Linked DNA regions of Danio rerio. The protein of the gene in region 2 interacts with the protein of the main gene of each other region in a pairwise test. Links are inferred from orthologs where the notes say so. Each region holds a gene or a part of one and is shown on either strand. Other genes may lie near its edges.

The links.
Region 1: the proteins of dbnla (region 2) and sh3bp2 interact in binary tests that used the Homo sapiens proteins (3 or more experiments, as listed by UniProt). The link is inferred for Danio rerio from reciprocal best matches to the Homo sapiens genes DBNL and SH3BP2.
Region 3: the proteins of dbnla (region 2) and sh2d4a interact in binary tests that used the Homo sapiens proteins (3 or more experiments, as listed by UniProt). The two-hybrid records come from large-scale screens. The link is inferred for Danio rerio from reciprocal best matches to the Homo sapiens genes DBNL and SH2D4A.

What each region holds. Positions count from the first base shown.
Region 1 is NC_133185.1:17,519,549-17,523,048, reverse strand, and holds part of sh3bp2 (SH3 domain-binding protein 2), read right to left. Parts: intron 3,204-3,500; coding exon 3,144-3,203; intron 1,919-3,143; coding exon 1,763-1,918; 3' UTR 1-1,762. UniProt on the Homo sapiens protein: Binds differentially to the SH3 domains of certain proteins of signal transduction pathways. Binds to phosphatidylinositols; linking the hemopoietic tyrosine kinase fes to the cytoplasmic membrane in a phosphorylation dependent mechanism.
Region 2 is NC_133185.1:47,603,972-47,607,996, forward strand, and holds the start of dbnla (drebrin-like a), read left to right. Parts: upstream 1-1,225; 5' UTR 1,226-1,285; coding exon 1,286-1,362; intron 1,363-2,167; coding exon 2,168-2,223; intron 2,224-2,356; coding exon 2,357-2,469; intron 2,470-3,634; coding exon 3,635-3,709; intron 3,710-3,804; coding exon 3,805-3,951; intron 3,952-4,025. UniProt on the Homo sapiens protein: Adapter protein that binds F-actin and DNM1, and thereby plays a role in receptor-mediated endocytosis.
Region 3 is NC_133185.1:7,462,955-7,466,454, forward strand, and holds part of sh2d4a (SH2 domain-containing protein 4A), read right to left. Parts: intron 1,932-3,500; coding exon 1,801-1,931; intron 1,176-1,800; coding exon 958-1,175; intron 1-957. UniProt on the Homo sapiens protein: Inhibits estrogen-induced cell proliferation by competing with PLCG for binding to ESR1, blocking the effect of estrogen on PLCG and repressing estrogen-induced proliferation. May play a role in T-cell development and function.

The DNA of each region.
Region 1 (3,500 bases), about 30 Mb from region 2:
ACACAATAGTATGCATTTGATGGATACCATTAGTGACTAACTATGCTTCTAATACAAATAATTCACATTATTTTTTGCTATTGACTTCTGTTGGGATCTGTCGCTGAGAAATAAGTAACCTAACATGCTTAGTTAACCATCTAACCAGCCTAGTTAAGCCTTTAAATTGCACTTTGAGATGCTGGTGTAGCGAAGGCCAGCAAGCGAAGACGATAGAGGCATGGACATTAGCATCCTTGTTAAGCCTCCTTTCCACTTCACACGACAAGTAACAGACCGGAAGTCATTCATTTCCAATGGAGAGTAGTCCGGGAGCTGCATGGAGTTCTGATCATCTCCGTATGTAAAAAATTCAGATTCGAATTGAGCTGCGGAGCCGTTGAAATATTTAAACTCCTGCGACTAGACCGTAAGCGACCGGCCGACCGGAAGTGTTGTATTCCAGTGTTGTTCAAGCAGGTCCGTGCGCGCGAGATAAGAAATAGGACTTTATTTGGTTATTTTTTGAATCAGAAAAAGTCTATATTTAAAAACTAAACTAAACATTTCATAAATGTAAGTAATAAAGTAATAAATGTTAATAAATATAATGTTTTATGTTGTCTCCACATTCCCTGCAATATTTTTAGAGAACACTGCGAGAACAGCTTCTCTCCCATGGTGCACATCAGAACTGAAAATTCTGTGCGACTGCCACAAGAGGGCGTATTCTGATAGTCGTGTCCCAATGTTGTGTGCAGTGGAAAGGCGGCTTTAGAGCAACCGACTCCTATGCAAAGAATTGCTGGTTCGATCCCAGCTTAGACTGGGTTGGGTGCAGTAGGACCGGTGGGTTACACGTGGGGGCTCGTCCATGGGAGTGAGGTTTAGGGTGGGGGAGTTTAACGGAGGCCAGTAAGCAATGTGCTATGCAGGTAAACCTCTCTCCTCTAAACGCAAAAGGTGCTCTAGCGACAGGTGCAAGAGGTCACGGTCTTTAGCCTCCTTGTTAGAACAAACGACTGCCATGCTAACAATTACCGGTTTGATCCCAGCTCAAACCGGGTTGGTTGCAGTAGGACCGGTTGGTACATATGGGGGCTTGTCCGGGATGGGAGTGAGCTTTAGAGGGGTGAGTGTAGCAGAGGCTAGTAAGCAAAGTGCTATGCAGGTAAATCTCACTCCACTGATCTCAAAAGGTGCTCTAGCGACAGTTGTTAGAGGCCACGGTCTTTAGCCTCCTTGTTAGAGCAACCGACTCCCATGCAGCCGGCCCAGCCGGGACTTGAACCAGCGACCTTCTTGCTATGAGGCAACAATGCTAACCTCTGAGCCACTATGCCACTATACACCATATATATAAATCTTTTATGCTCACCAAGGATTGGGATTTGATCAATAAGTTCTTGGATCAAAATGACAGAATTGTACATTTAAAATACAGAATTAAAAATATTATGTAACATGATGGCCATTCTGCTTGAATCTATTACATTAAAATGCTATTTATTCCTGAGTTGTCAATGCAGATTTTTCAGCATAATATTCGCTCCAGTCTGCAGTGTCACATGATCCTTCAGAAATCAGTCTTGCAATCAGCTGAGTACTGTTGAAAGCACTGGACCTCAAACAGTGTGTCCACATTTGTGAAGCTTTAATTGTAGCGCAGTCTGCTGGCAGTGATGATGACAATCTTCTTCACAGTGCTTGTGTGTCCTGATGGGATGCAGGTGTTTTGTCCAGAAGGAGCAGCAGGTTTTTCAGTGTGAGACCGAGGCCGGGGTCACCTGGGCGGGGTGTAGCCGAATGGTAAATGTAAGCAGAGCGAGTAATTGGGCATGGAGTTGTTGCTGCTGGGCAGTGGGTGACTGTGGTAATGTTCAACCAGAGCAGCTAAAGAGGTGAACGTCACGTCCGTCTCCAGATAAATACGCTGCTCCTGGAAGTATACGGAAAAGAGATGGCAAGAATGAATAATTTGTTTGACTACAGAAGCTTGCTTTCGTCACATAAATAAACCAGTAAAAAGGCTATTGTGCCTTGTTCACAACTGCGTTGGTTTTGAAATTTGAACATTCATTCATTCATTGAATTTCTTGTCGGCTTAGCCCTTTATTAATCCGGGGTCGCCACAGCGGAATGAACCGCCAACTTATCCAGCACATTTTTACGCAGTGGATGCCCTTCCAGCCGCAACCCATCTCTGGGAAGAAATTTGAACAGTAGTTGTGAAATTTGAAGACTGAAATTTGCATTAAATATTGAACTTGAAATGTCTTTGATTTAAAACATTTTTTAGCACTAGATTTTTAAAATCTAACAATTTTAATTTTAATTCATGTTGTTGGAACTGCGAATATAACCTTCAAATTCTTGCAGTTTCTAGTTTTAACTAGTGCTGGGCAAATATTAACCGCAATTAATTGCATAAAAATAATTCGTTTTGACAAAATATATGTGTGTGTATTTGATATATTTATTTCGTACATATATATGAATATTCAAATAAATTAATATATTTGAGAAATGTATTATTTATATTTAGATATAACGTGTGCGTGTGTGTGTGTGTGTATGTGTGTGTGTATGTATATGATACAAATTTTATATAAATCTAAATATCTATGTATGCAAAAAAGGATTTGTATAGTTTTGTTTTTAAGGATGTGTTTGTTTTACATATACATATTAAATATTTATAACACACATCTTATCTAAAATCAAACTTTTATTTTGGATATAAGTTTGTTTTTACTGTTTTTCAACAGTTTTTTTACAATTTGTTTTTTGAGTTTTATATCACAATTGTTATTATTATTATTATTATTATTATTATTATGTTTTCATATTTCACTTAAGAGATCTGAATTCTGAATAAATCAGAGTTCTGAATAAATAGAGTTCTTAATAAATCTCTCAGTTTGTGAGTTTATGTCTTGTAATTCTGCATTTATGTCTTGCTATTCTGGGTTTCTTTTGTGTTTCAGAGTTTCAGAGTTTATGCCCTGCAAATCCTAGTTTACATCACATAATTCTGATTGTAAATCTTTTGCAATGAGTTGTTTATATCGTACAACTTATCCAACTATAAAACCATTCGTTCATTTATTTTTTTGTTTTTGCTTGTGCTATTACCAATATATGGAAAATATGGAAACACTAACCTCCTCAAAAAGCCTGTAGTTTCTGGCTTTGTTTATTCCAGAGTCCCAAACAACAAGTACCTGTGTCACATAAAAAACAAGGCATTAATCTAATACAGACAAATACTTATAGCAATCTCCTATAAAATAAATGACAGAATAAATAGTTTACTTTTTTAAGACATTCTATATTAGATTTCAAAAGAAAACAGTATAACAATTAATTAATTTATTTATTTATTTAAATTATGCACTTGACTATCTTTCTATCTATCTATCTATCTATCTATCTATCTATCTATCTATCTATCTATCTATCTATCTATCTATCTATCTATCTATCTATCTATCTATCTATCTATCTATCTATCTATCTAT
Region 2 (4,025 bases):
AACCTTTGAGGAGACTGAAGCGCTGAGTTAATTTGTTTCAAATGTAGTGTGAAATAATAGATTTGGGGGGCCACATGGGCAAAACACATGCAGACTTCCCTCAGAATTCCTTTCACTGTGTGATGGCAGAAGATTTTTCATTTTTCATAAAAGCCTTTTCTCTACAAGTTGACATGTTGCTCCAGTTTTCGGGCATAATACAAATTAAGTCAATAGAAATACAAAGGAGTCAAAATCGTGAAAAGTGCGCCATCGTGCGGTCAAACAAATAACTGCGTGTTTTATTTTAGAGCCAATTGGAAAAGATGCATGCAAACAAAAAGTCTAAATAAGTATCATAATTTGCATTTGTAAATGCATGTCACAAACAAAAATGGCACAATAAGTATGGTAACAGTGCAATCTGCAAAAGTATTTTCAGCGGCAATCTGTGTGTGAATTGTTTGGAAAAGCTGTAATTGTTTTTGAATTTCACATACACATATAAAACTTTTAGGATAGAGTGTGGAGCATTATTTAAAAGCAATAATACACCACAACATAGCATAACATACTTCACTGACACCTTTACCGGTGGTATTTCAGATCGCAATTTCTCTTGCTCTTCAATCTATGAACTCTGAAGAAAAGGATTTGCATTATAGCTTTGTTCAGTCTATTCTTTAAGTAATTACAGTAATGTGATTGTACAAGTCCAACTAGTTCCACGTGTGACCTCGTGAACCGCCCTTAGATTGATCAATAGATATATGCTAAGTAAGGTGCGACTCATGAACAAATAGTTCGTTTGAACTGATTCAATCCAACCGATTGTTAACATGATGGACAATGCTAACATTAATATAATTAACACTAATTCTTAAATTGAATTATTTGACGCTACATATCATATCCAATGAAAAAGTAAACATAAATAACGCGTAAACAAAACAAAAATATCCGTGAATCATTTGATCGGTTCTCTTCAAAAGAGTCGATTCTGTAAAATGATTCCCAATGCTAACACGTTGACCATTTTAACAATTTTAACAGTGTTCTCGCTGTAATGCATTTCTACCACACACAAAATTCAATATTTGTCCCTGTTTAAATCATTTAAATAGTTATGGCTTGCTGGGAAGCTCTTTCTCTTCCTCCTTTCAATTCCCAAAAACTCGCCGAACCAGATTTCAAGAGACAGGTGCGTTTTTAACACGACAAAGGACGCTCAAACGAAAGAGGAAGACTGGTTATGATTATATCTCCATTAAAAATATCCACAACTTCATTCATTTCATGATCCACAATGGCGGTAAACCTGAGTAAAAACGGACCCGCGCTTACAGAAGCATATGATGAGGTGGTGAGCGGGAAAAAAGACTGGTAAGAAAACTCCATCACACATCAACACCTCGAAAATAAATCGACGAATGACATGTTTTTTTTTAAAGAATAAGTAATCATTATATTTACTTTACGTAATTAACTTTGCCATTTCAAGAGAATCTGGCATCCAACATTAAAAATACTATAGTAATTAGAGTAAATAGTGTTTTTGAAGCATATAGCAAAGCGTATTATTGTATACACTGTACACTCGATTTGCGTTGGGACAACATGAAAGAGTTAACTTATTAGTTTTTACAAATTTAAGTAGATTTAATGAAAAAATTAAGTTGTCCCAATTAAAAAAAAACTCAAAAATTGTGTTGTTTCAGCTCATTTTAAATAAGTCGTTTAAACAAATAGCAAACGTAATTTTTTTGAGTGTATAGTGTTTACAACACTTTTGTTAGTGAATGATAAAGCATAATGTAGTATTATTAACTATAGTGAACTATAATAAATACAGCAGTGCACTTTAGTTTTTACTACAGTAAACTGTGGTGTAGTATAATAACAATGTAGTATAATAACAATGTAGTTGCAGTAAAGTTGGGTTGTTTATATTAGTACTAATATAGTTGATGTACTACTGCAACAATAGAATTCAAAATACTCTAGTGTTTACTTTAGTATTTTTTCATTTATTTTCAAAACAATATTCAAATTTGTTTTATGAGCTATTACATATAACCTGTGCAAAAAAAAAACAGAATGGCTGGTTACTTCTTGGCGAGTATTTTACATTTATAATAGCCTATTCTGTTAATAATCTTGCATGAAATGTAATTTTTTTTTTAAACAGGGTGTTGTTCACCTATGAAGGAAACAGTAATGACATTCGGGTTGCAGGGAAGGGAGGTGAGTGTTTTCTTCAGATGAGATGAGAGTGCCAATAGACTGACGTCATGCTTTTTTTTTTTTTTTTGTCTTATTGATGAGTCAGCAGTCCACAGTTTCATATGCTGGTTTGTGTTTCTCTCATTTTTTTTAGATGGTGGGCTTGAAGAAATGGTGGACGAACTGAACAGTGGTAAAGTCATGTATGCCTTCTGTAGAGTGCTGGACCCCAGCTCTGGAGTGCCCAAATTTGTGCTCATCAACTGGGTATGAACAGAAAAATATTCAGAGCTGGATGTACAAATAAAAAATGCTTCATGAATGAATAGTTCACTCAAATATTACATTTACATTTAGTCATTTAGCAGACGCTTTTATCCAAAGCGACTTACAAATGAGGACAAGGAAGCAATTTACACAACTAAGAGCAACAATGAATAAGTGCTGTAGGCAAGTTTCAGGTCTGTAAAGTCTAAATGTCAGACATTAATGTCTAAATGTCAGACATTAAGTCATAATGTCAGACATTAACAAGAATTATTCATAATATTTATTAAATTACCCAGTCAATTGTATTTTATTAATGTCTACCTCAACCCCAACCCTTACAGTAATGTAAAAACAGTAATTATCCAGAGAATTATTCATATTATTTATTAAAATGCGGATGGGCCCACGCGGATTGCAATATGCACTGGTCATTCATTCATTCAGTTTCTTGTCGGCTTAGTCCCTTTATTAATCCGGGGTCGCCACAGCGGAATGAACCGCCAACTTATCCAGCAAGTTTTTACGCAGCGGATGCCCTTCCAGCCGCAACCCATCTCTGGGAAAACATCCACACACAAACACTCATACACTACGGACAATTTAGCCTACCCAATTCGCCTGTACCACATGTCTTTGGTCTGTGGGGGAAACCGGAGCACCCGGAGGAAACCCACGCGAAGGCAGGGAGAACATGCAAACTCCACACAGAAACGCCAACTGAGCTGAGGTTCGAACCAACGAACTTCTTGCTGTGAGGCGACAGCACTACCTACTGCGCCACTGCCTCGCCAGCACTGGTCACTACTAACTAAACGGAGTAGGACCACACAGTTATGTTTTGTTAACATGTTGAGGTTATATGTTGCATGTAAAATGTACGTTTCAAAACTGCACAAATTTTGTCAATCCGCCTATGCACACAATCAAATTCAAAATCACCCGATCTGGCAACACTGACAACAAAGAAGACTTTCTCCAGAAGATAAAATATTATAGGAAATACTGTGAAAAATGTCTTGCTCTGTTAAACATCATTTGGGAAATACTTGAAAACAAAATTCACAGGAGGGCGAATACTTTTTACTTTAAAAAAATGCAGCAACACCGAAAGCTTTAAAATGTATTCACAGCTTCATTGATATGAATCCTCTTTTGGTTTTAGACCGGCGAGGGAGTCAAGGACCTCAGAAAGGGTGTTTGCGCTAGACATGTTCACTCAATGGCCAATTTTCTGAGAGTGAGTTTAAAATACAAGTCATTCTCTTATTTGTCGCATTATGTCATGCAAATAAACACCATCATAACTTTAATCTGTTATGTGTTGAATTAAAGGGTGCACACGTGACCATTAACGCTCGATCAGATGATGACGTGGAACCTGCGGCCATCATGGAGAAAGTGGCCAAAGGCTCCGGCGTAAACTACAACATCCACAGAGAATCAAGCCAGAACAATCATTCTGAGCCTCCTGGACGTGTGGTGAGGGATTTCAATCATAATCATAACTCATATTAAAGATTATGGAAGTCTAGTCCTACTATGGAAATTGTGAA
Region 3 (3,500 bases), about 40 Mb from region 2:
TCACTTTAATTTTATTTAGGCTAGATTATTATTTTATTTGACAATCCAGTTCGTGCTTTGGTATTGTTGAAGCATAGCAGATTTGTTTTGAAGCACTTCAACTCAAATGTTATTCGTTCTTCTATTGTATCTAGAAGATAACTGACCAAGAAAAATAGTTAAACAAAGAGACAAACTATATACGAAATTCGTTTTATAAAAAGATATTTTTTCCAAGAAAATATATATTTTTGTTTGAGCCCGTTTACTACTCAACTGTGCAGGTGGATGATTTTCGGTCAGTGTAAAGTAAGGATTTAATTATTGCTTCACTAATTGTATTGTATCACAATCTTCTGTCATATATTTGCAATTTTTTAATATGTCTTAATTTTAAAGATTACGTCTCGAGCATCTGATTTTTCCTTTGTGCTGATGTGCTTTTATTACATTTAGATTTCAAAGAAAACATATTAATTTTAAAAAGGAAACAAATAAATGACAAAAAGAAACAAATAAATGTCATAACGAATATCCTTAATGTAGCCTTTGACAGTAAGCATCAGTGTTTCTTGATATGATTGGGGTAAGGGGAAGGGGACGGGGCGGGGCAGTGCTGGATTTGTGAGTACCTTCGAATAAAATCCTGCAGGCGCCCCTGTCCTTGTTATTGTGTCAGATTGCACGCCTATCATAGCAGGCTACCCAATATGGTAAATATTGGTAAATAGATTATATGTATATACTTTTTCACATGTATGTATATATATTTTAAGTCACAAAACTGTCCGCAAATTTCCGCCACAAAATCAGTCATTTTTATCATGAAAAATCACCAAAAAATAAAAAAATAAAAAAATTCCCAAAAACTAGGGGGTCTGTAAACTGTACGAGTGTAATCGTACAAATTCATTCGAATTAGCCGCTAAATCAAAAAGTTACGAGTTGCCGTGAGATTGCGTTGGTACAGCACATTACCTGATGATACTCCACTAGTTCACTGAGGGAGCTGAATTTGATCTGGTCTCCCAGCAGCATGTAGCAGTTCTCCGAGGAGTCAATCAGCAGGTGTTTGATTCCATCCTTGAATCGGTAGGAAAGCACATATCCAAAGATCCTCTCACTGACGCGGACCAGGAAAAGCCCGGGCTCACCACCGCTCAGCAGTTCCTCTGCCTGCTCACGGGAGATTATACCTGTAGATAAAATCAGATCATGTTATCGGTTGTAGGAAATCTCTATATACTGTATTAACTTGATATAGACTAATTCAATAGCTCTGTTTGGAAAGACAGGAAGGGTCTACAAAATTTGAAGAATCTATTATTTGAGCCCTGGGTGCCCTGGTGAGCGCTTTTACAATGTGGATTGTCTCAAAGCAGCTTCACATAAATGGTCATAGTAACTGGAACAGTGTAGTTCAGTTTTTAGTGTTTAAGTTCAGTTCAGTTCAGCTCAGTTCAGTGTGATTTAAAATCATTACTGAGAGTTCATTTTTAGTCATTTACCTTCTTGATCTGTAGCTTTTCATTTATTTATAATTGAGTAAAGACTGCAGAAACTTTTTCTTGTTTCAGTTTCATCATTCTGTTAAATACAAAAGAAGATATTAAAAAAAAAATGTTGGAAAATTTTTACTTTCATAGTAGGAAAAGCAAATATTACAGAAGTCAAAGGTTGCAGGTTTCTAACATTCCTTAAAATATCTTCCTTTGTGTTCAATGTAGGTCAAGGGTAAGTAAGTAAATGATGGCAGAATTTTAATTTTCTCATTGTGTGCTTTAAGAAACAATTCTGGATTCTGCCTAAATTGATTCTCACCGTGAAACCATGTGGCGATCCGGCTTTGATCGCGCTGAAACCCTGCTCTGAGGGGCAACTGTTCCTCCTTAAACCAACGAATAATATGTTCTCGACTGGACGTTGACTGTGAGCGCCGCATACCGCCTTTCCTGCCAGACAGAACAGAAGAAACAAACTGGATCAAATCCCAGACCATCAGCCATGAAGCCATGTAAAGATATTTCCTGAGACTTTGTTCACAACATTCAGTTCATATTTGGTCTGTTAAACATATTTACTGTACATAACAAGAGAACTAGAAGCGGCTTTGCACAACAGATGATGCGTTGAGGGGAAATCCGTGTCAAAACACGTAATTACACAGCCTGCAGTACCACATTCCTGAGATGAATGAGTCTTGAATAAAAAGAGGTGACAGATATGATGAATATATCTCTATTATTAGCACTAGAGAGATAGGTGGGGATCAAGATAGAGATTTGTTTACCCCGTTTTAGCAGAGTGTACTTAGATTACTGATTATTAAATAGATTAGTATACCCTTTGATATGTTTATTTATATTAAATACAGAGAAAATTCCAAGTACACTGCAAGGTTTTAAATCAAAATACTCTCTCAACACTGATCATTAAAAATCCATACTTAAATTGACATATCAAACTTAATTCAAGTAAACGCATTAAGCATTATTAGTAGAAGACTCCTGTGATGGCGTCCACAAAAAAATTAAACAGCAAAAACTGGTGTTAAATGTTTTATAATAAAGTCCAGAATAAATTAATTTTTATCAAAATTATCTCAATGTAATGTAATGTATATTTTTTGTTTAATGCCATGTCAGCAACCAAAGCTATTTTCATGGCAAGAATACTTTAATAATAAATCTACAATAAAAAACAAAATAAATAAATTGAATAAGATTTTAGTGTTACTACATGATAAAAAAATCATTATTTTTTCTGCTGTCACTGCATGTCCTTAAGAGAGTTCATTTCATAAAAAATCCTTCTGGAAAAATTAAAAACAGGACAGTACAAATGTGTTTTACAGTAAGGGGAGTTAAAACCCTCTTTCGATCTACCTCCTAATTAAAAAATAAAAAATAAAAAAGCACCGAGATGGGCGTGGAGCGCTGAGAGCAGAGGAAGGAGTGGGCGTGGTCGGCAAAGCAGGGGAAAAAGAGGGAAGCGAACAACTGTTGTCAGCTCACAAAATGAGACACAAACCGTGAGGTGAGGCATGATTTTAGTTTACAAAGTTAAAATGCACAAAAATAAACAGTAATTTAATGTCCTGCTACATCTGTTATTCGTAGTTTCATATACACATAACCACAATTTGTTACATGTAATGTAAAGTGTATTTATATAGCACATTTATTGTGTATGGCCATACACCCAAAGCGCTTCACAATTATGAGGGGGAGTCTCTCCACACCCCCACCAGTATACAGCATCCACTTGGGTAGTGCGACGGCAGCCACAGCAGACAGCGCCAGTGCATTCACCACACCAGGAGAGACAGTGATAGAGCCAATTCAGTGGATGGGGATGATTGGGAGGCCATGATGGGTAAGGGCCAATGGAGGGAATTTGGCCAGGACACTGGCGATAGACTCCTACTCTTTTTGAGAAGTGCCATGGGATTTTTAATGAGCACAGAGAGTCAGGACCTTGGTTTAACGTCTCTTATGAAAGATGGCAGCCCACTGACAGTT